2 linked regions of the Macaca mulatta genome follow. The protein of the gene in region 2 binds, or shares a complex with, the protein of the main gene of each other region. Links are inferred from orthologs where the notes say so. Each region holds a gene or a part of one and is shown on either strand. Other genes may lie near its edges.

Evidence for each region.
Region 1: the proteins of EDAR (region 2) and EDA are in contact, whole or in part, in a crystal structure (PDB 7X9G), measured with the Homo sapiens proteins. The link is inferred for Macaca mulatta from reciprocal best matches to the Homo sapiens genes EDAR and EDA. Residues at the interface, in NP_071731.1 of Homo sapiens: Glu55, Pro56, Tyr57, Leu58, Lys78, Ile86, Arg88, Arg89, His90, Asp92, Glu94, Gly95, Phe97, Val134; in NP_001390.1 of Homo sapiens: Gln256, Ser258, Ala259, Gln261, Asp265, Asp273, Arg289, Tyr310, Tyr311, Lys340, Thr341, Tyr343, Ser370.

Annotation. Positions count from the first base shown.
Region 1 is NC_133426.1:76,551,624-76,567,359, forward strand, and holds the end of EDA (ectodysplasin-A), read left to right. Parts: intron 1-367; coding exon 368-402; intron 403-1,332; coding exon 1,333-1,384; intron 1,385-4,283; coding exon 4,284-4,414; intron 4,415-6,302; coding exon 6,303-6,554; 3' UTR 6,555-10,422; downstream 10,423-15,736. Other genes in the region: AWAT2 (acyl-CoA wax alcohol acyltransferase 2), read right to left, coding at 12,714-12,868, 13,092-13,291, 13,940-14,114, 14,349-14,553, 14,797-14,867, 15,216-15,326. UniProt on the Homo sapiens protein: Cytokine which is involved in epithelial-mesenchymal signaling during morphogenesis of ectodermal organs. Functions as a ligand activating the DEATH-domain containing receptors EDAR and EDA2R. May also play a role in cell adhesion.
Region 2 is NC_133418.1:19,477,965-19,494,600, forward strand, and holds the end of EDAR (tumor necrosis factor receptor superfamily member EDAR), read right to left. Parts: intron 16,364-16,636; exon of another isoform or gene 15,976-16,363; coding exon of another isoform or gene 15,908-15,975; intron 8,517-15,907; coding exon 8,194-8,516; 3' UTR 5,765-8,193; downstream 1-5,764. UniProt on the Homo sapiens protein: Receptor for EDA isoform A1, but not for EDA isoform A2. Mediates the activation of NF-kappa-B and JNK. May promote caspase-independent cell death.

The sequences.
Region 1 (15,736 bases), on a different chromosome or scaffold from region 2:
GAAGAAAATTGATAGAAAGGGAGCGAAAGGCTAGAGAAGCCAATGCCATTGTCTCAGGGTCACACAGTGACAGGAATGCCCTCTCATTGTTCTCCATGGGTGCCTGGTGGGGCTTGCCTTGGGCTAATATTGGCCAGAGGCAATACTCAGAAGTTTTCCTGCTGGGTGCTGGGCCCACTGAAGATGAAGGTCGGGGCAGGAAACAGAAGAGGTGCACTCTGACTCTTCCTCCAGCTCTAAGCCCTGGAGAATAAAGCTCAGACAGGGCTGGCTGCAGGGAGCACGGCTCACCACCACTAGCTGCTCAGGTGAGGGGAAAAGGAAGTCAAAAGATTATGCCCTCTGATAGGCCTGTCCTATTTTGCAGGTGCTGCTGATAAAGCTGGAACTCGAGAAAACCAGGTTGGCTGGGGATTGCTCTCTTCTTGGGTAGGAAGGAAAGCCACAGGCTAGAGCCACCTTTAAATTAGCTTCTTATTAGATTTCCTGAGGCTTTATTTCATGAGAACACCCTGGAGATTCTGAGGGTTTTCACTCACAGCCCCCTCCCATCTCTATGAATAGAAAAGCTTTGCCCCAGGGCATGTTTTTAGCTAAGGAAAGGGTGTCTTGCCAGGATCATTTTTCCTCATTCCACAGGAGACCCCAGGGTCACCATAGCCAGGCCCAGTAGTCAGCTGAAATAAGCTGCCAGTCAGACCTATTCACCTGAGCCTCCAACTCCCCAGCCACCCCAGACACCTTGTCGGCTCTCAGACCACCTGGGATCCGGACCTGAAGAGTTGAAGAGTATGTCCTTGAAAAACAGCCAGCCAGCTCCAGGCCCAGCCTAGCCTGGGCGTCTGCCTTAATGGCCTGAAGAGCTCCTCCCAGTCTTTGAGCTTCCTAATCTGTCTCTATTGGCAGGTTCTGCTGCCTTGCCTTGTCTCATCTCAGCCTCCCTCGCCACAGCTGTGTGGCCACAGTGATAAATCTACACAGCTGCACAGTGCTTGACGGCTTGCAGGGCAATTTTATATCCATCACCTCATTTGATCTTTAGACATCCCTGTGAGAGAGGCCAGACATTCTTATAATCCCCATTTTACAGGTAGGGAAATGAGGCTCAGAGGCATTACATTTGGTTGAGGTCACATAGCTAGCAAGCGGTAGAGCTACAAAATCATACTACCCTCTAGTAGAAACGTAGTCAGTAACATCCCAAGAGAGGGGAGAGGGATCAGAATTGGATTACAATAGAAGACTAGAAACCAGGATGGAAACATGGGACCGGTGACTGAGCAAGCAGCCATTACTCATAGTGACTACTCTCTATCCTTCTCATCCTGCCAGCCAGCTGTGGTGCATCTACAGGGCCAAGGGTCAGCAATTCAAGTCAAGAATGGTAAGAATCAAAATAGGCTCTCTCCCAAAGAGGAGCTTCTCCCCTTCCTCCTCCCCAACCTCCAAATAATCACCCAGCCTAGTTCCTCCCAGGGCCCTGAGGTACCCTTGGCATACGAAGTCATTCTTTGCTCCATCATGCCCTCTACTGGCTGTCCTGAGCAATTGCTAGCATCAAGACCAGTTGCTACACCCAAATTGCATTTAGAATCACTGATTGCGGAGCTGAAAGGGGACTTGAGACATCATCTAGCCCAGGCATTCTCAGGCGATGGAGTTTATATCAGAGCCACCACGGAGATATGTGTAGTTAGATTAATATTTTCACAATACAAATTATAGAAAGTAAAACAATGTAAAATTAAATTCTTCTTGTCTGATGGATCTACGCAGATGGGCAGACGGGCTGCTTCTCTCAGGGCAAGTGGGGCATGTTGGAATCTCCAGGGGGTTGAAGATGCTAGTGTCTATCAAAAGGGAGAATGTGTTTAATGGGTTTAAGAAGCACTGATTTATCGTAATCCCCGCATTTAACAGATGAGGAAACAGAGTCCCAGAGAGATTGGATAATACATTAATAAATCATGCTGCCTCATTTTGTATGATACTTTAGAGTTTTCAGCATGCTTTCTTTGTCTTTAATTTCATCCAGTCCTCACAACCACCCTATGAGGTAGGTATGAGCTCCTTCTTACAAAGACAGAAAGTGAAGTTCAGAGAGGTTAATTAACTTTCCCAATATTTCTTAGTCAAGTTCGTTTAGGAGCCAGGATTCAAAACTACATCTTTCTGACTCTTTCCTCTCCCCTATGCTACTTCAGTGATATGTATGTACACTCCACTGAATGATAAGGTTCATTTTCTTCCCCCAAAGAGACATGAACATTCATGAAAGAACAGCACTTTGGAATAATGTCCAGTCCCCAGAGTGCACAAAGCCTAAAATGCGTGAACCCCCAGGAGCCTTGGGAAGCAGCAAGCTAACCAAAATGCTAGATGCTTACAGAGCTTGGAGTGGAAGGGAGGGGTTTTGAGTACAGAAACGGTAAAGGAAGGTTAAAAAAAAAAAAACAGCTACCTGGGGACAGTTTCTAAGAACTCAGTCAGTCCTGAACTGGCTGTACTGAGTTTCCTTAATGACTGTATTTAGTTACTTCCCTGACTGCCACCTCCATGTCTGACTTAGTAGCCTCAGAAGTGTAAATAGGAAGAGAATGGCACCAAAACCCAATTGGTCCTGCTGGGGACCGCAAGGCCCTGAGTGGGCCATGATCCCCACCTGTCCAGGGAGGCCAGAGACAGGCCAAAATAGATTTGTTTGGGTATCTAGACAGATAGTGTTTCTTCTGTGCCAGCAGCCACTGATTTTGCTCCCACTGCCACACAGTAGGATTGTTTCCAGCCCCTCTGGGCCAATCCTCAGAAGTGGTCTGTGCTGACCCTTAGTACTACCAGAAGAAGTGATGGGGGTGGGGTGCAGTGGCTCACGCCTGTAATCCCAGCACTTTGGGAGGCCGAGGGGAGCAGATCACTTGAGGCCAAAATTTGAGACCAGCCTGGCCAACATGGTGAAACTCCGTCTCCACAAAAAATACAAAAATTAGCTGGGCATAGTGGCACGCACCTGTAATTCCAGCTGCTCGGGAGGCTGAGACAGGAGGATCACTTGAACCCGGGAGGTGGAGGTCGCAGTGAGCCAAGATCACACCACTGCACTCCAGCCTTGGTGACAGAGTGCGTGACAGTCCCTCTCAAAAAAAAAAAAGAAGAAGAAGAAGAAGAAGTGATGGGGTCAGGGATTGGAGGACGTCATGCAGAGTGGTCCACTGATGGGACAGAGCCAGGGCAGTTCCTCCTAACTCCCAGCCCGTCTACTTACCACCTCAAGGAAAGATGGTCACCTTTTCCAGAAAACCTGTTTCCTCATCCCTCAGAGAGACAGGCCTACTGAAACTGACCAAAGATGGACTTACAAAATATAATTTCTTGGGTGCAGGATGGATGACTTAGAAGGGAAAAGGCTCCCTGGGCTTGGATGTCCTCCTCTCATGGTGGGAGGGAACATTCCTCTTTCTGCAGGATGGAAAGAGAAGATTTTCCTCCACCCTCACACGCTGGCTTCCACTGTCCAAAGGAATGCGACTGCCCCTCCACCCCTGCCTGGGGTGGAGCTGAGACAGATGTTTTGCCAAGGGTGCCTCGGCTCCTATCCTCCCGGCTGGCTCTGTTGCAGCCTGCCAGTCTATCTTTCACTCTCATAAGGATCCCTCTCACCTATGGGGCCCTGGTACTGGTGGTCAGTAGCCCCAGCTGCCGTGGAGTCTGAATCATCTCTAATCCCTAAGGTTCTCCAGATAGACAGTGGGCTGAGTGGTTTCCTCCCAGGGAGGCTTTCCAGAAAGCTGTGGGTGTGGAAGAACCATAAAAAAAGAATCTCTTAAGGAGAAAGAGAAAACCCATGAACCTATGAGACAAGAGGAATTCAGGAGCTCTGACTGGGAAAGTAAAATTGAATAATAAGACCTAGCCTGCCACTCAGTGTCTGAATTTTGCCTGTGCAGGCCCCATAACAACAAAGAAAATAGGGCAGCATGCCCACTCTCATCCTCCTCCGGCAAATTCCAGCTAGAAGGTAATGGTTAAAGACCCTTCCAGATGCAAGGGTCAAGAAAGGAAGTATAAAGACAGACAGGAGCCCAGGAGCCCTGAAGCAGGCCTGGCAGCTGCTTTACAAACAGAACAGCTTCTCTGCTTTCAAATGCTCTTCTTAAAGTTTGGCCTTCTAGGCTACCCTGGTTGCACTGGGATAGGGTTGGGGGTCGTGAACTCCTTGGTATTTATTTTCTGTTGCCTCGATTATTCTGACATGTACTGAGTGACTGCCCTTCTCTCATACTGAGATCTTTCAGGTGGAGTGCTCAATGACTGGTCTCGCATCACTATGAACCCCAAGGTGTTTAAGCTACATCCCCGCAGCGGGGAGCTGGAGGTACTGGTGGACGGCACCTACTTCATCTATAGTCAGGTAGAAGTGAGTACGGTCTTAGGCCTAACTCTTCTTATATCCAGAATGCAGATCCGGTGCAGACCACATAGGGGCACTGTGGAGCCAGCCAAGACCATCCAATGGCTAACTTCCTGCTTTGGGTGAGGGGGTGGGGGGACCGCACTGGGAGGGAGTTGAAAGAAGGAAAGAGAGAGGAGGCCAGCTTGTTTTGTTTTGTTTTGTTTTGTTTTGTTTTGTTTTGTTTTGTTTTGTTTTGTTTTGTTTTTCCCTAGCCAAATATTATTGAAAAACTGTGAAAAAGGCCCCTCCTACATTCTGCCATCTGATTCCCTCCTGCAGGGCCTCAGGCCCCTGTTTACCATCCGAGCTGTTTGGCTCCACTGCCAAACTTGAACTTGGTCTCAGTATATTCTTTGAAAGTCAGTTCCAGGGTTACTGAGAACCCCTCCCCTCAACACTGCTGGCTCGGGCGTTATAATGAATAGTGCTCCTGCAGACTTTCTTTCTACCTCAAAAAGATTTCTGACTGTCTTTCCTTCCTCTTTCTCCCATTTGTTTCCCTATCTTTCTATTCCTCTATTCTTGCCTCCTTCCTGCTGTTATTCTCCCAGCCCTTTCTCCCTCTGCTTTTGTCCTCTTCCTGCCCTGGGCCCGCTCCCCAAGTCTGCCAGTGTCCATCTACTTCCATTCCCCGATTGTTTGCCTCCATGGGGATGGCTCCTTGGAGATAGAGGAAGATGAGCCATGAGGTTGGGACTTTTGTGGGGTGGGCAGCAAGCAGGCAGGTGGGCAGAAGGACTATGGAACCAACACATGGGTGTCACAGGAGAGCGGCCAGCAAAGGTGGGCTAACAAGCATTTGCTAGGCACACTGAGCACCCCGGTGTAGCTTGGGTCCTGATCCATATGTGGCACCCAAATATGCTGTTCCCAGCTGAAGAGCTGATGGAGGGAGTGACCTTTCATAAAAAGATTTACAGTGATATCTGAGAGTCCCAACACCCATGGGGCACATGGGCATAACCCTGATGTCCTATGAGCCAAGCTCCACGTGGTGGGGGCAGTGGGGGCGGTGGTGGGGGAGGGCAGATCACAACTTGGTGTGAGGTATGATGGATAAGGGTAGTGAAGGATGGAAAAATTAATTTTCTGAGCCTAGGAGAGAATTGAGAGTGGCCCATGCAGGCTGGGAAAATCCCCATGACATTAGGCCACTGAGCATAAGTTAGTGCCTCCTTCTGGCCACAAAGTCAGGGGCCTGGGCTTTTCCAAATTCTTTGTCTTGTTTGCGGTAGCTAGCTCTCCATCTCTCTGGACCTGTTTCCTCAATCATCAAATGGGAGGCTCAAGGGGTACTGTGAATCAGTGAGGGGAGTCCAGGCACAGGGGAGGGGTGGTGCAAGCTGAATAAGCTTCTGTTAAGGAGCTGAAGAAATCGCAAGTTGTTATATGACCCCTCTGGGGAATCAGTGACTTCTAAGTTTCTCCACAAATAGTCCGCGGGGCTCAAGAGTGGAAGTCGGTTTGTGTCTACGGCACTGTGTGCACACCTGCTATGTGCAGGGCACTCTGCTTTGTGTCAGAGCTGGGGCAGGGGCGGGTGGGGGTACAGGGACACGGTGAAGCTGCAAATAGGGCATGGTTCTTAGCCTTACAGAGTTTACGACAGGTGTGCTGTTGTAAGAAAGGTTTGCTCAACCAGCTGAGCCCCATGGACTAGGGGAAGGGCAATGCATCCGCCTGTCACCCTGCCTTTCCTGTTGGCCAGCTAGCACGCCTTCACATGGCACTGCCCCATCCATGGGGTATGCTGGCAGCTCATCTGAGAAGATTCTGTCAATTCACCACAGGGAGGGCCCCCCACCCTCTCTTTCCTCTCTTCCCCAATCCCTTCTTGTTGCCTCTCACTCAGGTATACTACATCAACTTCACTGACTTTGCCAGCTATGAGGTGGTGGTGGATGAGAAGCCCTTCCTGCAGTGCACACGCAGCATCGAGACGGGCAAGACCAACTACAACACTTGCTATACCGCAGGCGTCTGCCTCCTCAAAGCCCGGCAGAAGATCGCCGTCAAGATGGTGCACGCTGACATCTCCATCAACATGAGCAAGCACACCACCTTCTTTGGGGCCATCAGGCTGGGTGAAGCCCCTGCATCCTAGATTCCCCCCATTTTGCCTCTGTCCGTGCCCCTTCCCTGGGTTTGGGAGCCAGGACTCCCAGAACCTCTAAGTGCTGCTGTGGAGTGAGGTATATTGGTGTTGCAGCCACAGAGAGAAATGCCTCAGTGCTATTTATTCCCCAGTGACTCCAGGGTGACAAGGCCTGCTTGACTTTCCAGAATGACCTTGAGTTAACAGGACAGTTGATGGAGCCCCAGGGTTTACATGAAGCAGAACCTTCTTTGGTTCCATGTTGACTGGCTTATGGCATGACTCTTCAACCCCGAGGTCCCTGTTGTCAGATCTATTGTTTGTTGCACTAAAATGAGGATCCAGGGCAGCAGGCCAGAGAGAGCAGAGGTGCACTCCAGACTCTGGGGGTGGACATCTGACCCCAAGGGGCTGCTGCTCCTCTCTTGGGTAGGGTGGTGGTGGGGGCGGAGTGGGAAGGTAGCATTGCAGCCTGAGAAGGCCAGAGAGGGAAAAGGCAGGTGCTTTTGGCAAGAGACCATGAGAGAAACCTGCCAAGAGAGCATCCTTGGCAGTGGGGATGTTCTTTCTGCTCTATACTGTGGCCTGCAGGAGGGTCGGAGTGTTCTTCCCACTCCGGCTGACAGCTACATTGTGGCAGCTTGCTGGGCTTTGGGAAGGGGAAGTTTGCTCTGCCTTGGAACAATCACAGGGAATGGCCACAAACCTGCCCGCATAAGACCCTGAATCCGTACTTGGGTCACACGTCTCTCATTTTATTTACAGCTGTGCTCCACACTCAGAAAACTCCCTGGGGTCACCTAGTTGCCCCCATTCCCAGCCTGACTAGAACTCCTGCCTTCTTTCTCCACAGAGCCTACCTCTGTCTGAGACAGGTGCCTAACCTGGGACCTGTGCTCATGTGAGTCTGGGATATTCTTTAGCTTACCTGGGCACAAAGAGAATTTTTCGTTTATTAAACAGTACAAATGTTTTTCATCCATTCCTAATCAATTCTGTCTGGAGACAAAGGGTTGGACTGGATGACCTCCAGAAGTCCCTTCAATTTCTAGTACTTGTGACTCTTAGCAGGTGGCCCTCACCACAGCCTTCTAAATTCCCAAACCCTAGGCTGCTCCTGGGCATTAGCAAGGCAGAGCCTTTTTACCTGGCCTAGAAAGGGCAAGGGGTGAGGATAGGACAGAGGGATTTTGTTCCAGTTTGCTGCAACACAAGTGGACATTAGGCCAGGCCTTACCTGAAAGGCCAGCTGCTGATGCCATACTGACCCAGTCTTTCTTCACTCTGGCTTCAAAAAGCCATAGCAGAGCATGGTCACCACAGATGCTCATGCTGCTCCTGTGAAGCCAGACTCAGGAGAAGCCAGTGTCTAGGCACTGAGCAGGGATCTGCCCCCTAGTTCAGGTCCAAATGCACCTTCCCCTAAACCCCAAGCTTCCCACCAGATCGTGTGGTAGGACCCTCGAGGGCCTTACTTCAAAGTGCCTTGGCTCAGCCTGGCTTCTGAGTGCTAGGTCCAGCCCAAACCTGGGAAGGCCAGCCTTGTACAGTCTGCTCCTCTTGTTTCTGAAATATGTTTCCTTTTCAGGAGATGGGGAATAAGTTCCTCCAGGCAGCTGAAATTCATCGAGAACAGAGGGTACTTATTTCTCAGCTGTGCCTTCCCTTTCTAAGCAACCACACTGCTTGGCCCTTCAAGGGTCAGGGTGAGAGGTGATGGGCTAGGCCTCCATTGTCTGGTTGCTAACAACAGCCTTGCAACCGAAGGTGAGGTGAACTCCAGGCATGTGTCTGTCCCTAACTCCTATAAAGTGCCTTGGACAGTCTGCAGTTGTAGCAGAAACCAACAAGAACCTCTCCTTCATATTTGGAAAATAATTTCTCCTTTATTATCTCTTTTGAGGAAGGCAAGGCTGATAATATGACAAACATCATTGTTTAGATGAGGCTTAGTGAGGTAGCACTCTCAGAGCGTTTTGACCAGTTTAAGCCGCAGACCTGGAGCTTCAGCCAGGTCTGACTCCAAAGTTGTTCCATTATACCACAGCACTGTGTGGAATTTGAGGTCTAGAGAGAACGAATAAAAGTGGTAATTTGGAACTGAAATCCTTGAGGGCTCTAGGGAGAAGCCCAGAGATGCCCGTTTTCATTCCTCGACGGTAATACCTGTCCTCTTGGCTGCCAGGGGCTCTGTGGCAAAAGGAGTCAGGCATTCCTTTGGGAAGCAGCCATCAACCTTAGAGCTCTTGTGTTCAGAAGAATCTTTCTGGCACCTTGTTGAAGCAGCAGGCCTCTGGGACCCACAGAGCTGGTGGCCTTTATGTTCTTTCACCCATCCTAGGAACCAGCCAACCATCATGTGTGGAGCCCCTACTGTGGGCAAGGTCCTCCTTCCATTACCCTACAGACAGCTTACAGGAGCCAGCTTGCTTCCCACAACTACTAGTGTGACTCCTTATCTCTTTCCACCATACCTTAGAGACTTTGATACTACCAGGGTCTCTCAGGGATGGAGGGAAGACCTGAAAGAGGACTGGTTCTGAGGCCAGAAAGATGTGAGGAGAGAGGAGGAAAAGTCTTCCTAATTGTGCCCCTAAAGGGCATCCTGATACCATTCTATTCTCCGGACATGGAGGGGATGATAAAGGAAATAAGATCTCCACTGGACCCTTGATTCATTCTGAACCCTCCAAAGGAACTCCAGGGGGCAAGGGATGATGAGGGAAGCAATAGGTAGCTGGGGAGCCCTATTGCTGCTAAGTCATTGGCGGCAAAGTGACAAAACAATTTACTGATGAGAGAATGTGCAAATAGATGTACAGTTTGGAATTATGCTGGTGTGAGTTTGCCAGAGGACCAATGCTAGCATGGAGAATGGGACAAGGACATTTGTGGGCAAGCAGATGACAGAGGTTTGAAGGAGAATTGCATGGCAGGAGTCTCTGCCAGCTACTTGGGCTTTAACAGCCAAGCTGGCACAAAAGACAGCTGGTGGAGGCTGCTCGGCTACTGGTTACCTGGAGAAGTAGTATTTGCCTATTTCCCGCTTCGTCCATCCTGAGCCAAATTTCTTTTACTGAACAGGAAAGAGCTAGGAACCCTGGAGGTAAACAAAGACTTTGATCCATGTATGAGCGTGTGTGTTTATGTAACTTCCTGTGGACGCAAATAGATTCAGAGAAATTTAGAGCTAAAAAGGCCCTTAGAGGGAATCTAGCCCAACCTAGATTCCACCCTGCTACTTATGTAGAAACTGAGGCCCAGAGAGGGAAGATGACCTGCCCCAAGTGGTGAACAAGCCCCAACCTCTAGAGTCAGCAGACTGAGGGGATAAAGCAGTTCCTGTCCCACATGGCCATCTTCTTTCTTCCACCCACAAACTCCAGGATGGAAGTACTTGGCCCTTTCAGGAGCCTGGCCAGGCAGGGAGTAGCTGCAGCCTTCATCAGAACTCTTCCTCCTCTCAAGGCATTCTCCCAGCTCTAGCTTCTGGACTGGAAAGCAGGAGACTGGCCCAGTACCAGCAAGTCCTTAGGCTACTGTAATGCTGCCTCAGGACCCATCCCTGCCTGGAGGCTTCTCTAGGCCCTGTGAGCACAAAGAATAAAGCTGATTTTTGTCTTTTAATCCATTTCAGGTCTCTCTCCAGGAGGGCTCGGGGTGTGTCATTTCTATATTCCTCCAGCTCTGATATTAGGGGGTGGGCTTTGTTGTGAGAATGGCCTGGAGCAGGCCCAATGCTGCTTTTGGGGGTCAGCATCCAGTGTGAGATACTGTGTATATAAACTATATATAATGTATATAAACTGGGATGTAAGTTTGTGTAAATTAATGGTTTATTCTTTGCAAATAAAGCGCTTTCCCTATCTGTTCTTGATATCCGCGTGAGCACTTCCTACATGTTAAGTGCTTCTTTGCAAATGACGCCACACATGAGCTAGGGGAAGGACCAAGGCACCCATTTCAAAGGCAGCAACAGAAGGAAGATGGTCTGAATTTCCTGTTGGAACATCCCACATCCTCTCTGTGCCTCAGACCACACTCCCACATCCCCATTACCTTAGGTCAGAAGAAGAAGAATTGTCTTGGGCCACAAATAAAATACACTAACACTAATGATAGCTGATGAACTAAAAAAAAAAAAAAAAAAAAAGTCACAGAAAATTCTCATACTGTTTTAAGAAAGTTTATGAATTTGTGTTGGGCCCCATTCAAAGCCGTCCTGGCCCGCATGCCACAGGGTAGACAAGCTTGCCTTAGGTCTTCTGTGACCACATGACAAGCAGGCTAGATGTCCTGCCAAAAGGAACATTGTCCGGGGGCAGCAATACACAGAACTGACTCTCAGCTTAAGAATGTGGCATCTACAAAATACACTTCAGGCCTGGGCCCCAAATAGCTTGGGTAGACCCAGCCTCCAGCTCATTTTGCATATGAGGAAACCAACACTTAACGAATTTAAGTCACTCACCCAGAGTTACCCAACTAGTAAGTGTGTCAGCCTGGTCTGATTCCTTCCCAGCCAAGGCTGCTGTTACCTGGAAAAGTAGTATTTGCCTATTTTGCCCTCCATCCATCCTGAGCTAAGATCAATAGGGAAGAGGCTCACAGGAAGAAGACCCGATAGCAGCTCAAGAACACGTAGCTCAAGAGAGGTCTGGCGCTTTTCACAATCCCAGCACCTTTCGCCCCGGGCCCCCACCAATCTTTTGGCTTCCCCGGGCCCACCCCCATGCCATCGTATAGGTGGAGCAATGTGCACACAGTAGACCACGACAAATCTGCAATGGCCAGGTATGCATGGGCTGGGTGTTGCAGCCCAGGCTGGTCCTCTAGCCACCTTAGAGTTTTTTTGTTTTGTTTTGTTTTTTTTAAGGAAACCAGTCACAGGAAAGCTGCAGACTGTTTAAAAACACTTTATGGAAGCTCAGGGAAAATGTAATCTCTGGCACAACAAGTGACAAAGACAGCAGAAAAGCAGAAGCATGTCTCTGGCCACTGTATACAAATCATCACATGAGGCAGGCACCCAGGGTAGAGGCAGCAGCTCACACTGCAGTAAACACGCAGGATGTTGTAGACCAAACTGACGAACGTAATGCAGGTAAATCACTGGACCAAATGGCACCCACCCAAGAGGAATGGAATGAGAGGGCTGTGAGCCAAATGTTGTAACCTGTCATTGCAACAGCCATTAGACCAAGAGTCTGAGAGACTTGCCATTCAGAAGGAGAGTTCTTTATGGCTGCTAAAAGCTAGGCGCCTCATTTCCATCCTGAGCAGGCTGGCTGACTCTCAAACAAAGGGCAGAATTATAGGGCCACGCAAGTATAGGCAAGTTGCTGAGGGAACAACAGAGAAAATTAGGCCTGAGTCCAACCTATTCTGTTATAGCTTTATGAGGCGGAAACTGAGTGCGGGCTAGTGGGTAGCAGAGGGTATTTAGGGCATTGTTTGCTCAGGGACAGGAAATGAGGAAGATGGTTGGAAAAGAAAATGGTTCACGTAGCTCTCCAGTGTATAAAGTTCAATCACATCCAATATTGTTTCATCTTCCCAACAGCCTTTGAGGTAAGCAGGGGACAGATTGTTAGTCTCATTTTATAGACGAAGAAAGGAGGCTCAGAGATGACTGATTGCCCCACAGTCACGTGGCTTGAAGTTGGTGGAGCTTGAACTCAAAGCCCACTGGCTCTGCAGGTCCCAGTCCTACTCCTGTAGGAAGTAGGACTCAATGCCAGGAGATGGGGCTCAATGCCAGGAGATGGGGCTGTTTGACAGCTAGAGAAGGAGAGACATGCGCAGGGATCCCAGAGCCCTCGAAACAGAGGAGTGGGTGCACACGCAGTATCAGAACATGGGCTTTTTATTTTGTCCATTGTTTTCCTCAATGCTGGCACCAAAGTGCCTTCAGGGCACCTCTCCCCTAGGCTCTTCCCTGTTTCTTGGGACTCTGTCTCCTGTAGCTGTGAAGAAAGGGCAGAAAAGAGCTGGAAGGAAAAAGAAATGAAGTGGGAAAAGGAGTGCAGAAAACAAGCAAATGAACAGGCCCTCCCCATAAGGAGGACTGGTCAAATCAGGAGCAGGAGGCCCATAGGTGACTCTTGTCCTCCTGTTCTCACTGGGTCCATACCTTCCAGCCAGGCTGAAGGCTGCTGGGGATGTCTGTCAAATTATCTCCAGCTCCTGGGTCTCTGAGATACCAAACTTGGTCTTATGCTGGTCAAACAGTTTACGTAGGGCATCAATATAGAGTGCGTGATATTTAGCCACGATCTCCTGGCTTGGATTCTCAATCTTGGGCATTGGTAGAGGCTCCCCGACTGCCAGGGGAGACAATGAAGGAAAAGAGAAAAGCATCAGAATAGTTCATTCCTCAGAATAGGCCCCAGGCCTCAAGCCCAGACTATCCCCATCCTCACCTCAAAAAGCTGCCACTCATCCTAGCCAGCCTCCCTGCCTCTGAGCAGAGTCAGAGCTGAGGTTCAGCCTCAGAGCTAGATCCTGTGTCCTAGACTGAGGCTGCCAGCAGAAAGGCCCACTCACCAATGGTGGTTACAGGCCGACTATAGGGCAGAAGGCCCCAGGATTTCTTGGTGAAGCCACGTCCATAGAAAGCACAGGGGTAGATGTGTATCATACTCCGGAACCACTTCTGGAAGCGGTTGACAAAGCCACCAGGTGTGAAAATGTGCTGATCATAGAGGTCCGTCTCCCCAAAGGCATACGCAGGTATTAGAGCCACCCTGCAGAGCAAAAGCATATCCTGTGAAGCCCAGAAAGGTAGGGACTTTGTCAAATGCCAGACACGCTGACGGTCCGTGATCCCTGGGTCTGCCTACAGGCTTCCCAGACCTCAGTCCAGCTGTGCCTAGGTCCAAGTTGGGAGCTCCATGGCCTACCCCTGGCTGCCTGTGGGGGCAAAGCAGTAGTAAGCTAAAGGAGGAGGCAAGCTCAGACCCTCCTGGGAACCCCTGGGTCTGAAACGGTGGAAGGTAAGACCCAAGGGCCATGCCAGTTGATTTTCTTCACTTTAACACAAGCTAAGCTTGGCTCTCTCTGAGACAGAGTTGTTGCCAGTCCCCTTGTATAGAGGGACCGGCCCAGATGAGGGCTGGCCCTCTGCCCTTTCTACTTCAGCAGAAACGCCTCCAGGACCTGGTCTCAGCTCTTCAACCCAGAGGTGGCTTTCCTCCTCCCTCTTTTTTTTTTTTTAACTTATTTATTTTTTTAATTGACAAAAAAAATTATCTTCCTGATGACCATAGTTCATAAGAATGTATTGTATACTTCCTTCTCTCTCTGTGGATGTCCTTTCCTCAAAACCCCATCTTCTTCTTTCCCTGCAACACTTTTGGATCCCTTCCCCCAGCCTGGACTGGAGCTGTCCTTACCCATGCTGAAGGGCCGTGCGCACAAAACCAGACCGGTTCTTCAAGACCAGGGTGGAAGAGCCTGGCAGGCTGTATCTGCACTCAGCCAGTCCACCAACCACCACAATGATCATGTTGCCTGTGCCTTTATGAGTCAGCAGAAAGTCAATGGAGGATTGACTTACAGAGCAGATCCCTGGTGGAGAGAAAAAGCCAAACAGCCATTGGCCACTTCCCAAACCCCTACATTTCCTCTCTACTGCTTCAAAGGAGGGACAGTGCAAAGAGCCTCACATCAGGCAGGTGAGCCTATGATAGCTGTTTCAGACCAGAGGGGATCGGGAGCTGGCCTTGCTCTCATGCATCCCCCTACACTTCTCCCTTGGGGAGCCATTTTTTCTTTGGCTTTGTGTCCTAGGAGCCAGCTTACCTACAGACATTACATATTCCCTGAGGAAAGGCATCCAGAAAAAGGCTCCCAGTGTGAGCACGTAAGGGGTGATGCCAGGAAATATCTTGGAGAAGCCTGAGGCCTCTGTGGCAAACTGGCCAAACCATCCAAAGGCCAAGATCCCATGAGGGTGGCAGACGAGGATGTAGTTGCGGCTGGGGGAGATGTCATGAGTCTTCAGAAGCTGCGGAAGAAAGTAGAATCAGGAGGGCTATCCCCAGGGTAGAGAACTCCTCTTTTGGGCAGAGATCTGAAAAGAAAAGGACTGCTAGGTCTAGCCATGCAGATTGCCCAATGTACAACTCCAGGGGGCGTCATTCTCAAGAGCCTCAATGTGGATGGCACCCTCCACCCCTAGCCTGACCCAACTCCTAGCACTGAAGTCGGGGCTGAGCCCAGGCCTGAGTGGGGACCTGGGGCTACTGACCTTGAGAGGGAAGTAATCCCTGTAGTGTTTCCACAGGCGCCAGTGCCTCACACAGGTAAACCGGCGGCCGCCTGAAAACAGAGGCAATGCAGCCAAGCTTTGTCCATTCCCACTGTGGGCCTGCCCTAGGATGCTCTCACCCCCTGCTGTTTCCTGGCCTCTTAAGTGGCAACGGAGGTGGGCATATCAGGGCAATTTAGGACAGGCCTAGCTTCTGCTTCACTAGCTGCCCCTCCCCTAACCTACTCCAGTTCTGATCTGGGCCTTTCTACCACATTAAAAGGACCCCTTCCCTCAGCCTCTCTAGCCCAGGGAGGGACAGGCTAAAGGGCTGTCTGGGAATTGGCCAGAGCCTCTCAGGATTGTGATGAGAGAAGGGGAAAGAGCATGTGGCAACACAGCACCAGCAGGACCCTTACCTCGCTGAGGGGTCTTCCAGTCAAAAGCCAGCCAGATGAGAATAAGCACAGTGACAGGCCAGTATGGTGTGAACACCACCAGGTAGAGGTTGACAATGGTCACAGTGGTTACTGCAGGAAGCCCAGACCAGAGTTAATGAATTTCAAGCGGTCCCTCATACTTACCCTATCTCTGGAGTTCTGTCCATCCCAAAGTCATATGCACTCTCTCTCACACATACCCACTCAACACTCTCACTTCTTCACCCCAGCACCTGGCCCACCTGCCCATGTCCCCAGCCCCCTCTCCTATCTGGTCTTGGAAACCTGATTCAGGTCTAGAAGGCAAGGTGTCTTCCTCCCTAGCTGAGCTTCACACTGTAAGCCCTCTCCTCCCTGCGCCCTGCTCCAGCACTGCACTGGGCTCTGCCTGCAGTGTGGTCAGTGGCAGTGAGCCAGTGGTGGGCCACCAGAGGTGGGGAATCCTGGAACAGTTTTCCTCCAATTCACATCCCCCTCTCCATGTCTTCTCTCTGAGGCAT
Region 2 (16,636 bases):
TTTCCATGTCTTTGTATAGTTTCTAAAGTTCCTCATGGTATTGATTTCTAGTTTTATCCATGTGGTCTAAGAAAATACTTGATATGATTTTGGTTTGTTAAGTTTTATTGAGACTTGTTTTGTGGCCTAACATATGGTCTATCCTGGAGAATGTTCCACATGCTGATGAGAGAATGTATATTCTGTAGTCAGATAGAATGTTCTGTAAAGATCTGTTAGAGGGCCGGGTACGGTGGCTCACGCCTGTAATCCCAGCACTGGGAGGCCGAGACGGGCAGATCACGAGGTAGATCGAGACCATCCTGGCTAACACGGTGAAACCCCGTCTCTACTAAAAATACAAAAAATTAGCCGGGTGCAGTGGCGGGCACCTGTAGTCCCAGCTACACGGGAGGCTGAGGCAGGAGAATGGCATGAACCTGGGAGGTGGAGCTTGCAGTGAGCCGAGATTGTGCCACTGCACTCCAGCCTGGGCAACAGAGTGAGACTCCGTCTCAAAAAAAAAAAAAAGATCTGTTAGGACCAGTTGCTCTAAAATTTAGTTTAAATCCAGTGCTGCTTGATTTTCTGTCCAGGTGATCTATCTAATGCTGAGTGGGAGAGATGAAGTCTTTGACTATTACTGTATTGCATCTATCTCTCCTTAGATCTAATAATATTAACTTTATTTTTATGAGTGCTCCAATGTTCTAGACATACATATTTAGAATAATTATATCCTCTTGCTGGATTGATCCATTTATCATTATATAACAACCTTTTTTGTCTTTTTTTTTTTTTTTTTTTTTTTTACTATTTTTGACTTAAAGTCTATTCTATTTCATAAGTACAACTATACCTGCTCAATTTTGTTTTTCATTTGTATGGAATATGTACATCACTTTACTTTCAGACGTAAAGTGGTAAGGTGAGTTTCTTGTAAGAAGCGTATAGTTAGATCATGCTTCTTAATCCATTCAGCTATTGTATATCTTTTAAGTGGAGAATTAAATCTGTTTGTGTTCAAGGTTATTGATATGTGAGGTTTTGTTGTCTTTTCTGGTTGTTTCATATATTCTTTGTTCCTTTCTTTTTCTCTTATTGATTGTTGTTGTGGTTGGTGGGTTTCTACAGTGGTACCATTTCTCTTCCTATTTTATGTGATTGCTTTACCAGTGAGTTTTATACTTTCATTTGTTCATGATGGTAAATGTTGTTATTTTGCTTCCAGGCTTAAAATTCCCTTGAGCATTTCTTGTAGGAGTGGTCTAGTGGTAGTGAATTCCCTCAGCATTTGCTTGTCCAGGAAAGACTACTTCTTTTTCATTTATGAAGGATAATTTTGCTGGATATAGTATTCTTGGCTGACATTTTTTTTCTTTCAGCACTTTGAGTATATCATACCATTCTCTTCTGGCCTATAAGGTTTCTGCTGAGAAACTCACTCTTAGGCTGATGGGGTTGTCTTTCTTTCTTTTTTTTCAGATGGGGTCTCACTGGGGTTTCACTCTGTCACCTAGGCCAGAGTGCAGTACAGTGACATGATATGGGCTTACTGCAGCCTCTGCCTCCCAGGCTCAAGCAATCCTCCCATCTCAGCCTCCTTAGTAGCTGGGACCACAGGCACAAGCCACCATGCCTGGCTAATTTTTTGTATTTTTGGTAGAGATGGGGTTTTGCCATGTTGCTCAGGCTGGTCTTGTACTCCTGAGTATGAGTGATTACCCATCTGAGCCTCCCAAAGTGTCAGGATTACAGGCATGAGCCACCGCACTCGGTCAGGGGTTTTCAGGTAACCGTATGCTTTTCTTTTTAGGATGCTAGCTCTTTTTAGGATTCACCCTTTATCTTTGACTTTAGACAGTTGGACTATAGTGTGTCATGGAGAAAACGCTTGCAGAATGTATATTCCTGGAGATCAGTGAGTCTCCTGTATTTCAATGTCTAAATCTCTAGACTTAGGAAGTTTTCATCTATTATTTTATTAATTAAATTTTCTAATATTTTCTTTGTCTCTTTAGTCTCAGGGATATTAATAACTCAAATATTTGATCACTTTGTGTTTTCCCAAGTGTCATGAAGGCTTTACTCATTTTGTTTTATTCTTTTTCTTTTTGTCTGACTGGATTATTTAAAATATTCTGTCTTCAAGTTCTGAGATTCTTTATTCTCCCTTATCTAATCTGTTTTTGAAGTTTTCAAATGTATTTTATACTTCCTTCAATGAATTCTTCGGTTCTGGAATTTCTATTTGGTTCTTTAAAAAAAAAAAACCTATCTCCTTGGTAAATTTTTCATTCATATCCCGTATTGTTTTCCTGATTTCTTTGTATTGTTTTTCAGAGTTCTTTTGTATATCACTGAGCTCCTTTAAAATCAATATTTCAAATTTTTTATATGAGATTTCAAAAATTTCTTTTTGATTAAGATGTATTGCTTGAGAATTCTGATGTTCGTTTAGAGGCATCACATTTCCTTAATTTTTCATGTTTCATTTGTCCTTAAGTGGATCTCTGCACATCTGGTGTAACTGTTGCTTCTTCCTGTTTTTGAAATTTTCTTTCATAGAAGAGGATTTTTTCCTAAAGATATATCTATGGTTTTGGTTTAGTAGGGTACTTTGGCTTTGATTCTGGATGCATGTAGTAATGTAGTCTCTGTATAATTTTGTAGGCTGTAAATAGTGTTGGTGGCATCCATGATTTCCCCACTGGGTTAGGGTGAAGTTACTAGTGGAGGCTGTGGTGAAGTTGTACTAGGGATTGGGATGCCAGATGGGCCAGTCTTCAGGCCCTAGTGATGACAGCAATGGGCTAAATGTGCCCATTTGTGCCCAGGGCTGTATATGCTGGCATCTCTGTTGGCAGTTATTTGGCAGGCTGATTTCTGGGCCTCCAGGTGGCTTGTTCAGTTGCTGGTAGTGGCAGCAATGGACTGGGTGTGTAGGTGGGTTTTGGGGCCTTTGGGCAGCTGGCATAGCATGAGCGATGGCAGCAGCAGGAGCAGGATGATTGTGTGGGTCCCAAGTGGTGTGCATTGATGTTGGTGGTTGCTGTGATGGGCTGGGTGGGACAATCTCTAGGCCTTCAGGTGGCACTTGCAAGGAGGTGCCAGGTGACGTGATGGTGGCTGGGAGTTTAGGCCCAACCATAGGCCCCAGAAAGAGTGCTCAGGTACCCAAGGTGGTGGATTGCCTTGCACAGTCCCCAGGACCCCAGGATATGTGTCCTGTCTCAAAGAGGGGGGCAAAGCTGGGCTGTGCAGGTTTGTGCTCAGGCCTCTTGGTGAGAGCAAGAACCACCATTGGGGGCCAGGGTAGGGTGATCCTCAGGCCCCAGGCAGAGTGCTCAGGTAAGAGATGCTAGCAGCTGTGCTGAAGTGCTACGACTGAACAGAGTGTGGCTGTGCTCTGTGGTCACAGCCTGGGCTGGTAAGTGGGAATGTATGTCCTTCCCACAGTCCCAGTGGGGTTTGCTTTCCAGCCTTGACAGTGTTAGCCCATGCCTGTCTCACGCTCCCACCCTGGCTGCGGAGGCCCCATTTCAGCTGGTGAGCAAGTCCCAGCGGCAGCTTACACCCTTTCAGCATCCTAATCTCCGTCCCAGCAGCACCCACTTCCTGGCATCAGCAACTGCAACCCTTTCCTTGTTTGTTTCTTAGCCCTGGCTGTGGGAGTGCTCACAGCTTACTCCCTATTCCCAGCAGCAGCAATCTGGGTTTCTGTAACACCTCAGTCCCAGTGCCTCTGGGCCCCAGGACAGCATGCAGTCTACCCACGGCTAGGTTTGAAAATGGTGTCTTGCTGTAGTTGCTTAGGTCTCAGACAAGTGTGGGATCCAGTGCAAGCTCCATCTTTGGAGCAGTTCCATCCCACGGTCTCCCGGCAGCTCCCTATGTTAGCTTCAGTGGTTGGGAGGGTTGAGGGGGTCTCATGGCCAGGATTACATGATTTCATGGTGGGGATCTGGGCCACTGGAAGTCTCTCATTCACCCTTTCCCGGAATTGGGAAGTCAGTCCCAGCTCCTAGTTGATCCTGGCTAGGCAGGCTGCTTGTCTCCCTTCTCCTTCCCTGCTTTTGGTGTTTCCTGCCACTTCTCTGTTGAATTCCAGTGTTCTCTATTGGATAATGTATTCAAAGTGTGACTGTCTACACACTATGTTTGTTCTAAGTGGAAGAGGCTGACATGAAATGCTTCTGGTAGCCATCTTTGTCTGTGCTATTTCTAATACTACATGCTGTACCTAGGTAAATTCCTCTGGGAAAGTTGAGACCCATGTTCACAAAATAAAGAAAAAGGCCACAAGGTTACAAGAAGGGTCACCCAATTCCTCACGGTTATTTCATTTATTCATTTGTTTGCCTTTAAACCTACATTCATGGCTCAAAACCATTATGCAAACTGGAATTCTCATATTACTATTGATTTTATTTTTCCTTTACATTTTCGTTTTTTAAACTTCCTATCTGTTACTTGTCAAATCTCAGTAGAAGTACACCTTCTAACAGAATAATACGGGCCCTGCATTTTGAGATGATAGCAAATGTTTACAGAACAGACAAAATCGAACTTAACAATAGACTTCAAGTAGACCTAGCCTGAGAGCCAGTCTCTCCAAACTTCCCTTTTGCTCAAACATGGCTAAAGGGTTTTGACACTGACTCCTAGTCACCATGAAATCCCTCCAGTGTGAGACCAGACCAGCCACCTAGGACAGGTCTATCCTGGCACCAAGGAATAATCAAAACCTAACTACGGGATGGCTCATCGGGGATGCTCTCTGATAAAGATCTTGATCAAATGGGGGAAATGTGAAAGTTGTCAGTATTATAAAGGAGTCACTTGTGCCAAAAACAAAAACAAAAAACAACCCTGACAAATAGAGCCACGGAAGGCCATGAAAGAAGGGTTCTCCTAGATAAATGACTGATGACAAGAGCCATCACAAGACTCTGAAAAAACCAAAACCTTGCGCAAAAGCCATCACAATCTTAAACACACACAAAGCCTCCTGCAAGGACCTCTGCCCAACAACTCCCTGTCCAGCCTTGGACTGGCACCACCCTTATTGTTGATCCTTGCAGCCAAGGATAATTGTCTCAAAATAATTATGTAATCCTTCTTATTTTTCCTTTAAGAACTGTTGTCTTCCTTTACCTCTTCAAAAACACACGTAGTTTACTATGGCACATGTATTCCCATTGTAATGCCCTATTCCCCAATACATATCATCATTTTCTTTTAGAGAGCCTCTCTCTGTTATCTAGGTTGACAGAGATGATGGAGTAGAGCTGCCCCAGTTAAGGTATTCCAACAGGCAGAGGCCCCAGTTGACCCACATTCAACTGAGCCCAACCTAAGTCAGCTGACGGACCCTCTACTAACCCCCAAGCTATGATAATAAATGCCTGTAGCTTTAAGCCATTGAATTTTAAGATAGTTTGTTACACAGAAATAGATAAGTGATACAATGCCTTATGTGCTAATAACAGCAACTTGGAAAACAATGCTCCAGGTGGTTTTTACATGATCTCCTTGTAATGTTTGCTTCTACACTAGAAGTTCTAGCGTTCTACTTCTAGAACACCAGACGTTCACTAGAGCAGTGGACTCTAGTGAATGGCCCAGGCCATAACATTTTAGGCACTGTGTTTATAGCTGGTTGCAATCCTACAGTCTCATCACACATAGTGCAATAACCAGGAACAGAGCAATCAGAACCTTCTGCACTCACCCACCGACCCACCACCCCAAATACAAAGAGCTCATATTACAGCAGTCTATAAATCTTATTAGTGTGTTTATTGAGATTATAAAATATAATAAGTTATATATATACAGAGTTAGACAAAAATATTGACAATTAAGACTTCACTAAGGGCCACAGACCTACCCTGGGGTGTTTTCTAAATGTTTTAAAGTATTGCAAAGTAATATCTCCACACAAAAATGGCAGGATGGAGTCCCAGCTTTGTTCAGTGAGAATTATTATGATCTCATTGTTCTGAATCCCATAACAAAGGCTAAAGCTTGTCAGAGTAAATCCCATGTTTCCAAATAAGTAAATGACAAGAGAATGTGTAACTATATAAGGAATAGCTCCCTAAAAATGGCAGGTGGAGAGCCAGTGGAACATGAGCTGACACTGGCTGGCCTTACAGTCCCAGAATTCCAAGAGCGTGAAATGAGGCCAAAGCACCAGGAGCAGAGAACAGCCACCCTACTCCTTCACTGAAAACATTCTGAGGAGGGTACAAGCTGTTATCCTGGAACGGCACACTCATCACAAGTGACATTTGCAGTCTAATTAAAGGGAGACTCATCATCATTATCACAATGCAGGGGGAAGGGGGCACCACAGGATTTCAAAGAGGAATTAAAAGGATAATTAAGCTCTGCCGTGGAGTATTTAGCTTGCAAGATAAACCAAATAGGTTCTGAAAAACAGCAGCAAACAGACACAGTAAATGATGATATTAAATATTCAGGACCTCATTATGATCCTCTCACAGTATGTACTACATTCGTTGGTGGGAAATTGCTTATTGGTGTTAAAGATATGACTGATTTTCCCCCCAAAGCATTTTTTCAGTCATGCAACTTGTCATTTTTACAACCTCGCTTTATAAGTCAGAAACTTTGTTTTAATTTAGTAATAAACACAGTCAGACCTGCCATTAGGGAGCTCAGCAGTGAACTCTAAATTAACCCCTGGTGTGATCACTAGCCTGCCTCCTGAGCTCTTGGCAGTTACAGGGATAGTACGAGAGTCTGCCAAGAACAATGCCAGATTATTAGCTTTCTGCCTATAAATGTTATGTCAAACCATTGCAGTTACTGTGAAAATGCCAATTCTGAGTTTTTCTGTTTTAATTCCCATTTAAACGGACAAACCACACTGTATTCACTTCCATAGAGCACCTCAAAGGCCTGGCATTTCCTATAGCTCCACTTTCTTTTTGCTCACCTGAACCCTACCTGCCCCGATTATAGAATCACTGGCTAACATCTCATTTGCAGAAGAGAAACTGAGGTTGAGAGAGGAAAAGACAAGACCCAAGGTGGCACTAGAAGCCAGCTCCCTGGACTCCAAGCCCAGGCCCTCATTTGCACTGCAGGACTCCACTTCCCCTGACTGGCTCAGAAGGCTGAGTCTGAAACTCTCATGCCATGAGGCTAATCTACGAGTCTCAGATGAGCTCTTGAAATCTAGAATTATGCGTGGCTGAGCTCTTAGGAAGTCATCATTTCTCTAATTACAGTTGACTACTCATATATGTTTGAAGTGAAAACACAGCCTGACACGTTATAATTTAAATTGCTGTGTCCTTGAGCATTGCTGCCCCTAAAAGGTCAAATCTGCCTAAGGCTGAGAGTGGAAGGCCATTCACATGTAATGCAAACCACAGGGTACCCAGGCCAAAGATTCATGCAGTAAATGGAACTGGCTACTGCACACATCCAATTGCTTGGACAAACACATGCCTTGCATATTGGTTTTGTATAGAGTGAGCTCTTCCGTTATTGACTGGAAGGCCTGTAAGAATATGGATGACCTCAAGGATAGGTAAAGTTATCCTAATGAAACCACATAGGGTGTTAACAGACTTGTACTAAACCTGAAATAATACCTGGAGCAGGGTGTTTGCATTTTGTAGCCATTTTACCAAAATGTTTGAGCTGCTTCTTCACTAGGATGCCATCCTTCATCATCCCAGTAGGGAGTCATCTCCCGCGTAGAACTTCTATTACATTTTCTAAGTGCCCCTTCATTAGCTTGTTTGATGTCTTCCAGTGAAGTGGTTTGTAAACATACGTTCCTTCTGTCTTCTACTGGAGTGCAAACTCCTTAAAGACAGGGACCAGATTCTTCACTTCTGTCAGTCCCACGGGGTTTGGTTCCTTTGAGTCCTCAACATTGTCTCATTGTTCAGTGAGTTAATGGTGGGCTGGTGGGCTCGCTCTATGAGTGAGTGGATATTTACTCTGCCTGGTGAAGTACAGGCGAGCATCTGAAAGTAGCCCAGCTCTAGTCCTTTATCTTTGGTTAAATTGGAAGACAGGCCTTATTTCATCTGGCTCCTTGAACATCCTAAGGCATATGGTGACATCACAAAAGCCTTGATTCTTGGCAGTCTTTTGGCACCACTCACAGCTCCAGAGCCCTCATTGATCCTTGGCTTGTCCTGGGAGGACAACCCACAGGCATGCTTTTCAGGATGCAGCATGTGGCTGGGAAGCAGGTGGCACAACCCCCGCCCACTCCAGTATGTCTGCACACAAGGACTCCACAGCATCCAGCCGCTCAATCTGTACCAGTTTTGTGAGCAGCTCAGGGATGCTGTAACCTGCCGTGCTGATGCGGTCGAAGAGCTGCATGCCGTCTGTCATGCCCCCAATCTCATCCCTCTTCAGGCCGAAGCTCTCGGCGAGGTGGCGCCACGTTTTCACAACAGCCTTCTCAGAGTTGTACGTGGAGCTGAGCATTCGGCTAGTTTTCTCGAGGCAATCAAATGGCAGCTCCGTGGGGCTAAGACCTGCAGACACCAATGGCCACAGTTAGATGTTGCAAGTCGCAGTCAATAGAAGGTCAACACTGTGAAAAATTATTTAAATGAAATAAAAATTATTGAAAAAAACATTTAAAAAATTGTAAAACAAAGCATGCAGAAAGCCACCTAAAACAAACGCATAACTTAAGGCAAACGACACCTAGAACACTGCCAGCCACAAGAGAGGGCTGTGCATGTACCCTAACCCCGGTAATAGCCCCTTCCCCACTAGGAAAATGACTGCTCTATTGACCATGATAATAATTCCCTGATGACCACTTTTAGCAATTCTCAAAGACTTCAAGACAAGTTATCCTTAGTTGGGTAACCCTGTCTCCCATGGGGCTGGGCTGAGGAGGGGGTCAAAGAGACAGTATCGTGTCTCTTTAGGGAATAGTAGTCAACTTTGTAATGGGTGCTCTCAATGATAGCCCCAGATTGGGGTTATCTGAACCAAGTCACTGCCAACTCAGTGGTCTGATGGTTTTTGGGGTTCACGGTACATTAGACTCACCTAGGAGCATTTAAAAACTTGATATGGCTGCTTCTGGAAGATGAGTAGATATAATTTTCCCTAATCCTCCCACTAAGTGCAGCTAAAAGCCCTGAACATTCCGTATAAAACAAATACAAGAAGTCTCTGAAAAGTGGAGAAAAGAAGATGGACCAACTAGGGACCTCGATACCTAAGGATGGTGATGGTGGTGAGTTCCCTGGGTTTTCTTTTGCCTCATAAATTCCAGACATGGGGCAGAAAAGTCCAAAAATCCAGAAATAATAGCAACCACAGACAAAAACAGCCCCAACAAAAGTCTTCCCTCTCTAGTCAGAGCACTAGGAAAAGAGCAGCCTAGCAAGCATAAAACATTTAGACAATAATTGCTCTATTCCAGCCAAACACCACAGAAAAACTGTGTCCCCACTCCATCCAGGGTAGCAAAGACTGAGTGGGGAGCCTAGACTTCCACCCTCACCAAGCTGTAACACTGTGCCAGGTGGTGTCAGGAAAGGCCATGTAGAGAGATGGGGCTTTCTCATCAACCAGCTGGTAACAACTCCTCTGCCCCTGTGGTGACCATGTCAGGAGCCATACTCCCAAACCCGAAAAGCAGTAAAAAGGAGTCCCTTGGGTGTTAGTGAAGGTTGAGTGGGGAATTTGGATGTCTACCTTCACCTAACAGTAGCAAGACAGCACCCTCATTCTCCTGCCACAGGGCTGCCTATCGAAAGGAGCCAGCTAAAATGGAAGGCTTAAATAAGACCCAGAGTTTCATATCAGGACATAAAACTACACAGGTTTCAAAGTGAATTCACTCATCATACCAAGAACCAGGAAGATGTCAAATGAGTAAAAAAAGAAAAACAATAGATGCTAACACTGAGATGACAGATGTTAGATAATCTGAAAAAGGTTTTAAAGAAGCCATAATAAAAGTGCTTCAACAAGCAATTATGAACATGCTTAAAACAAATGCAATAATAGAAAAACAGAAATAGAAAATAGAAAAAAATAGAAATCCTCAGCGAAAATATACAAAATGTATAAAAGAAATGAAAATATTAGAACTAAAAAAATACAATAACCACAATAAAAAGCTCAGTGGATGTGCTCAATGGCAGAGTAAAGACAGAGGAAAGAATCAGTGAGATGGATAATGGAAGCTAGCAGTGGAAATTACTCAATCAGAGAAAATAAACTGAAAAACACAGAGCCTTAGGGAACTGTGGGGTTATAACAAAAGAGCTAACATTTGCGTCATGAAGTTTCAGAAGGAGAGGAGAAGAGAGTGGGACTAAAGTACTCAAATAAATGATGGCTTAAAACTCCCCAAATTTGTAAAGAGATACAAGTCTACAGATTCAAGAAGCTAAGCAAATCCCAAACAGGATAAACCCAAATATATTCATGTCAAGATACATCATAAATGAACTTCTGAAAACTAAAGACGAAGTCTTAGAAACAGCCAAAGAAAAACAACGCCTGACCTAGAGAGAGAAAACAATTAGAATGACAGTAAATTTATAATCAGAAACCTGGAGACCAGAGAGAAGTAGCACAGTATTTCCAAGTACTGAAGGAAGAGAACTTTCAACCCAGAGTTGCATATCAGGTTGCAGTGAGCTGAGTGAAAATATCCTTCAGGATGACATGAGAATATCAAGACATTCCAAGCCAAAGAAAAATTAAGAATTTTTCACCAGCAGACCACCCTAAAAGAAGCAAAAGGAAATTCTGTAAACAGAAAGGAAATAATAAAAGAATGAAACTTGAGACATCAGAAAAGACAGAAAAGAACATAGTGAGCAAAAATTCAGGGAAATAAAATAGACTTTCCTTCCCTTTTTAAGTTTTCTGAATTATGTTAGGCAGTTGAAGCAATTTATGTTTTTCTAAATATATGTAGAGGAAATATTTACAACTACTATAAACAGGGAAGGTAAAGGGACAAAGAGAAAGGTAAAGTTTTTATACTTCATTCAAACTGGCAAAATAATAACACCAGGAAGGCCAGACACAGTGGCTCACACCTGTAAACCAAGGACTTTGGGAGGCCGAGGTGGGCAGTTCACCTGAGGTCAGGAGTTCGAGACCAGCCCGGCCAACATGGTGAAACCCTGTCTCTACTAAAAACACAACTGGTTGGCATGGTGGTGCACAGCTGTAATCCCAGCTACTCGGAAGGCTGAGGCAGGAGAATCACTTGAACCTGGGAGGCGGAGGTTGCAGTGAGCTGAGATTGCGCCACTGCTCTCCAACCTGGGCAACAGAGCAAGACTCCATCTCAAAAATAAAAATAAAAAAAAATACTAATAACACCAGTAGACTGATAAGTTGTATGTGTAAATGCAATCTCTAGACAAACTACTAAAATAACTATGGAAAAAGATAAAATCAAAACATATCACTCAAAAAACACCAAAATCAAATTCTGAAATATGTTCAAGTGACCCACAGAAAAGCAGGAATACAAAAACACAGAAATGAAAAACAGAGACAACAAATAGTAAACAAAATATAAAATAGCAGACTTAATTAAGCCCTAACATAATAATGACTACATTTAATGTCAATGGTTTAAATACCAACTAAAGGCTGGGTGTGGTGGCTTATGCCTGTAATACCAGCACTTTGGGAGGCCAAGGCAGGTGGATCAGCTGAGGTCAGGAGTTTGAGACCTGCCTGGCCAACATGGTGAAACCCTGTTTCTACTAAATATACAAAATTAGCTGGTGTGGTGGTGCATGCCTGTGATCCCAGCTACTTGAAAGGCTGAGGCAGGAGAATTGCTTGAAACTGGGAAGCGGAGGTTGCAGTGAGCCAAGATCACACCATTGCACTCCAGCCTGGGCAACAGGAGCGGAAACTCCATAAAAAACAGACAAACAAACAAAAACCTAAAAGGCAGAACTTGGTAGAGGAGATTTTAAAATATACTCAGTTATATGCTGCCTACAAGAAACTCACTTCAATATAATGAGAGAGGCTGGTTGGAAGTAAAAGGATGGAAAAATACATATCATGCAAACTTTAATAAAAGGAAGGCAGAATGGCTATAACATCAGTTAAAGTAGACTTCAGAGGAAAAAAATTACCAGAAAGTGACATTTAATAATGATAAAAGGGTCAATCCAAGAAGACATAGCAATCCTAAATGAATATGCACCAAACAACAGAGCTCCAAAATATGTGAAACAAAAACTGATAGACCTGAAAGAAGAGATAAGCCCACAATTATAGTTGAAAACTTTAACATTCCTCCCTCAGTAAATGATAGAACAATTAGAAAAAAATCAGCAAGAATATAGAACTTACCAACATCATCAACCAACAAGATCTAATCAACATTTATAGAACACTCCATTCAACAACAGCAGAATACACATTCTTTATAATTATGGGCCTTACACCTCAACAAATTAAAAGAATTGAAACTATACAAAATATATTCCCCTACCACAATATAATTAGAATTTAAATCAATAACAGAAAAATCTTTACACATTTGAAAACTAGACAACAGTCTTCTAAATAATCCACAGGTCAAAGAGGAAGTCTCAAAGAAAATTTAAAAATGAATGAAAATAAAAATACCAGATGTCAGTATTTGTGAGACACAGCTGAAGTAGTACTGAGAGGAAAATTTATAGCAGAAACACAAAGGAGGAAATCTCTTAATAATCTAAGCTCCCATCTCAAGCACTTAGAAAAAGATTAACAAAATAAACCAAATGTACATAGAAGGAAATAAGTAATTTAGAAATAAGAGCAGTAATCACTGAAATTGAAAACAGTAAAGTAAAAGAGAGCAATATGAAAAGAAACAGTTATTTGAAAAGATCAATATAACTGACAAGGAAAAAAATAGACAAGACACAAATTACCAATATCAAGAAAGAAGCAGGAGATGTTACTACAGACACCATAGATATCAAACAGATAATAAGGGAAAACTATGCAACTTTAACTCTATACATATAAATTTGACAGGTGAAAATAAACAGTTCCTCAAAAAACATAAACTATCACAACTTACCCAATGTAAAACAGATCATTTGAACAGACTTATAACTATTAAGGAAGCTGAATGTGTAACTGTAAAAATCTTCAGCCAAACGCGGTGGCTCACGCCTGTAATCCCAGCACTTTGAGAGGCCGAGGTGGTTATGTTGCTTGAGGTCAGGAGTTCAAGACCACTCTGGCCAAGATGGTGAAACCCTGTTTCTACTAAAATACAAAAATTAGGGCCAGGCATGGTGGCTCACGCCTGTAATCCCAGCATTTTGGGAGACCAAAGCAGGTGGACCGCACGGTCAGGAATTCAAGACCAGCCTGACCAACATGGTGAAACCCCATCTCTACTAAAAAATACAGAAATTAGCTGGGCATGGTAGCATATACATGTAATCCTAGCTACTCAGGAGGCTGAGGCAGGAGAATCACTTGAACCTGGGAGGTGGAGGTTGCCAGCCTGGGACAGGGTGAGACTCCATCTCAAAAAAAAAAATTAGCTGGGCTGTGGTGGCACGAGCCTGTAATCCCAGCTACTTGGGAGGCTGAGGCAGTAGAATCGCTTGAACTTGGGAGGCAGAGGTTGCAGTGAACCAGGATCGTGCCACTGCACTCCAACCTGGGTGACAGAGCAAGACTCCATCTCAAAAAACAAACAAACAAAAACTCCCCAAAATAAATCTTTAGGTCCACATGATTTCACTGAAGAATTCTACAAAATGTTTAAGAAATAATTAATAGCAATTCTACACTATATTTTCTAGACATAGAAAACTTACTCTGTGAGGGTAATATAAACTGGATACCAAAACCAGACAAAGACAAAAAACAAACCACAAACCACAGACCAATATCTCTCATGAATATAAATGCAAAATCCTTAACAAAATATTAGCAAATGGAATGCAACCATATAAAAAAGAATTGTACCACATCAGGTATGGGAGGCAAGGCTGGTTCAATATTTAAAAACTACTGTAATCCACTCAAAAAGTTAATGTCAACAATTTATAAAAAGCCTAGAGCTAATATTATACTTAATGGTGAAAAATGGAATGCTTTTAAGATCAGAAATGAGGCAAGGATTTCTGCTTCTGCTTCATCACTTACATTCACTGTAGCGCTGGAAGGTGTAGCCAGTGCAATAAAATGAGAAAAGGAAGGAAAAGGTATACACATTGGAAAGGAAGAAATAAAACGGTCCCATTTGCAGATGTGATTATCTATATAGAAAATCCCAAGGAATCTACAAGAAGACTCCCAGATCTTATAAGTGAATTCAGCAAGGTCACAGGATACATGATAAACATACAAAAATCAATTGTATTTCTATATAGCTAACAATGAATGTATGGCTACTGAATTTAAATTATCATTTACAGCTGCTCAAAAAATAAACGATATACTTATGATGTAAATCTAGCAAAATATGCATAGAACTTGTCTTTTGGAAACTACACAATGTAGATAAAAAAATTTAAAGTTGTGCTAAATAAATGAAGAGATATACCATGTCCATGGCTCAGAAGATTCAACATAATAAAGATGTCAAATCTTCCCAATTGATATACAGTTTTGTTGCAACTCATTAAAATCCCAGCAAGGCATTTTGTACATATAGGGAAGACTATTCTAAAACTTATATAGAAAGACAAAGGAACTAGAATAGCTAAAAGATTTTTGAAAGAAGAAAGTGGGAGCAGTCTATTTGATTTCAAGACTTATATAAGTTATTATATAACTTATATAAGAATCAAGAATGTGTGGTATTATAAGAGGGACAGACATGTAGATCAATACAACAGAACAGTGACCCCAGAAAATAGACCCATACAAATATACCAAACTGATTTTTGACAAAGTTTGAAAAGCAATTCAATGGAGGAAAGATACTTTTTCAAAAAAAAAAAAAAAAAAACAGTGCTGGAGCAATTGGATATCCATAGACAAAAAAAGAACTTTGATCCAATTTCATATCTTCTATAAGAATCAACTCAAACTTAACTGCAAAATGTGAACTATGTGAACTTAAATGCAAAACATAAAAACTATGTGGACTTAAATATAAAACATTAAGCTATAAAACTTCTAGAAAAAATTGTGGGAGCAAATCTCTGGGATCTAGGACTAGGCAAGAGAGAGCTTAGATTTGACACCAAAAGCACCATCCATAAAAGGGAAACTTTATAATTAGTTTCATAAATTTGACTCATAAAAATTTAAAGCATCATTCTGTGAAAGACCCTGTTAAGAGACTGAAAAGATAAGTTAAACTAGCTATAGAATAGAGAAAACATTTACAAAACCACATATCCATCATAGGACTAGTGTCTAGAATATATTGTTAAAAACCCTCAAAACTCAACAGCAAAAAATCATATAATGCCATTGAAAAATGGGCAAAGACATGAAGAAACATTCATTTTACTGAAGAGGACATACAGATGAAAAATAAACACAAGAAAGGATATTCAAACAATAGGAACATGCAAATTAAGACCACACTAAGATATCATAACACACTTCTCAGAATAGCTAAAATAAAACATAGTAACACCACCAAATGCTGGCAAGGATATGGAGAAACTAGACCATTCACACACTGCTCGTAGGAATGTAAAATGGTACAACAACTTTGGAAAACAGTTTGGCAGTTTTTTAAAAAAACCAACCACGCAACTATCATACAAGCCAACAAATGTACTCCTGGGTCTTTATCCTGGATAAATCACGACTGATGTCCACACGAAAACCTATACACAAATATTTATAGCACCTTTGTTCATAATAGTCCTTAAGTGGCAATAACCCTGATGTCCTTCAGCAAGTGAATGGTTAAATCAGCTCTGGTCTGTTTATGCCACAGATTACTACTCAGCAAGAGAGAGGAATGGACGATTGATACATGCAACAACCCGGCTGGACCTCCAGTGAATTATGCTGAGTGAAAAAGGCCATTCACCAATGGTTACATACTATGTGATTCCGCTTTTATAACACTCTTGAAATGACAAAACTGTAGGAATGGAGAACAGATTACTGGTTTCCAGGGGCCTAGGTGAGGGTGAGATGGGTGGGAATTGGCTGTGGCTGTAAAAGGACAACACGAGGAGTTTTTGTATGGGAGCTGAGTCTAGCTTCACTGTGTCGATATCAGTGTCCTGGTTGTGACTTCTGTGTATAGTTTTGTAAGATGTTATCATGAGGAGAAACTGGGTAAAGGACTTGCAGGATCTCTCTGTATTCTCTCTTACCACTGCATGGTAAGAAGTATCTCAAAATAAAAAGTTTAATTAAAAACAAAACAAAACAAAACAAAAAACAGAGATGCAGATGCCTGGGATTCACCCCTGACTAATTACATCAGGGTGTTGGGGCAGATTGGGTGGGCTGGATGGGCAGAGATGCTGTTAAGACCTGCAGGTGACTCTAATATTCATCAGGGCTGGGCACGGAGCACAAGTTCTCAGCCCTGGCTGAGGTTTGAAAACCCCTGTCCCGGGGTGTGAACTCAATATTTTTTGGAACAGAGAAGAGCTTGCTGGTGGATGGAAGGTGAGTCCTAGACCATCCTCCCCTGGGCAGCTGACAGCCC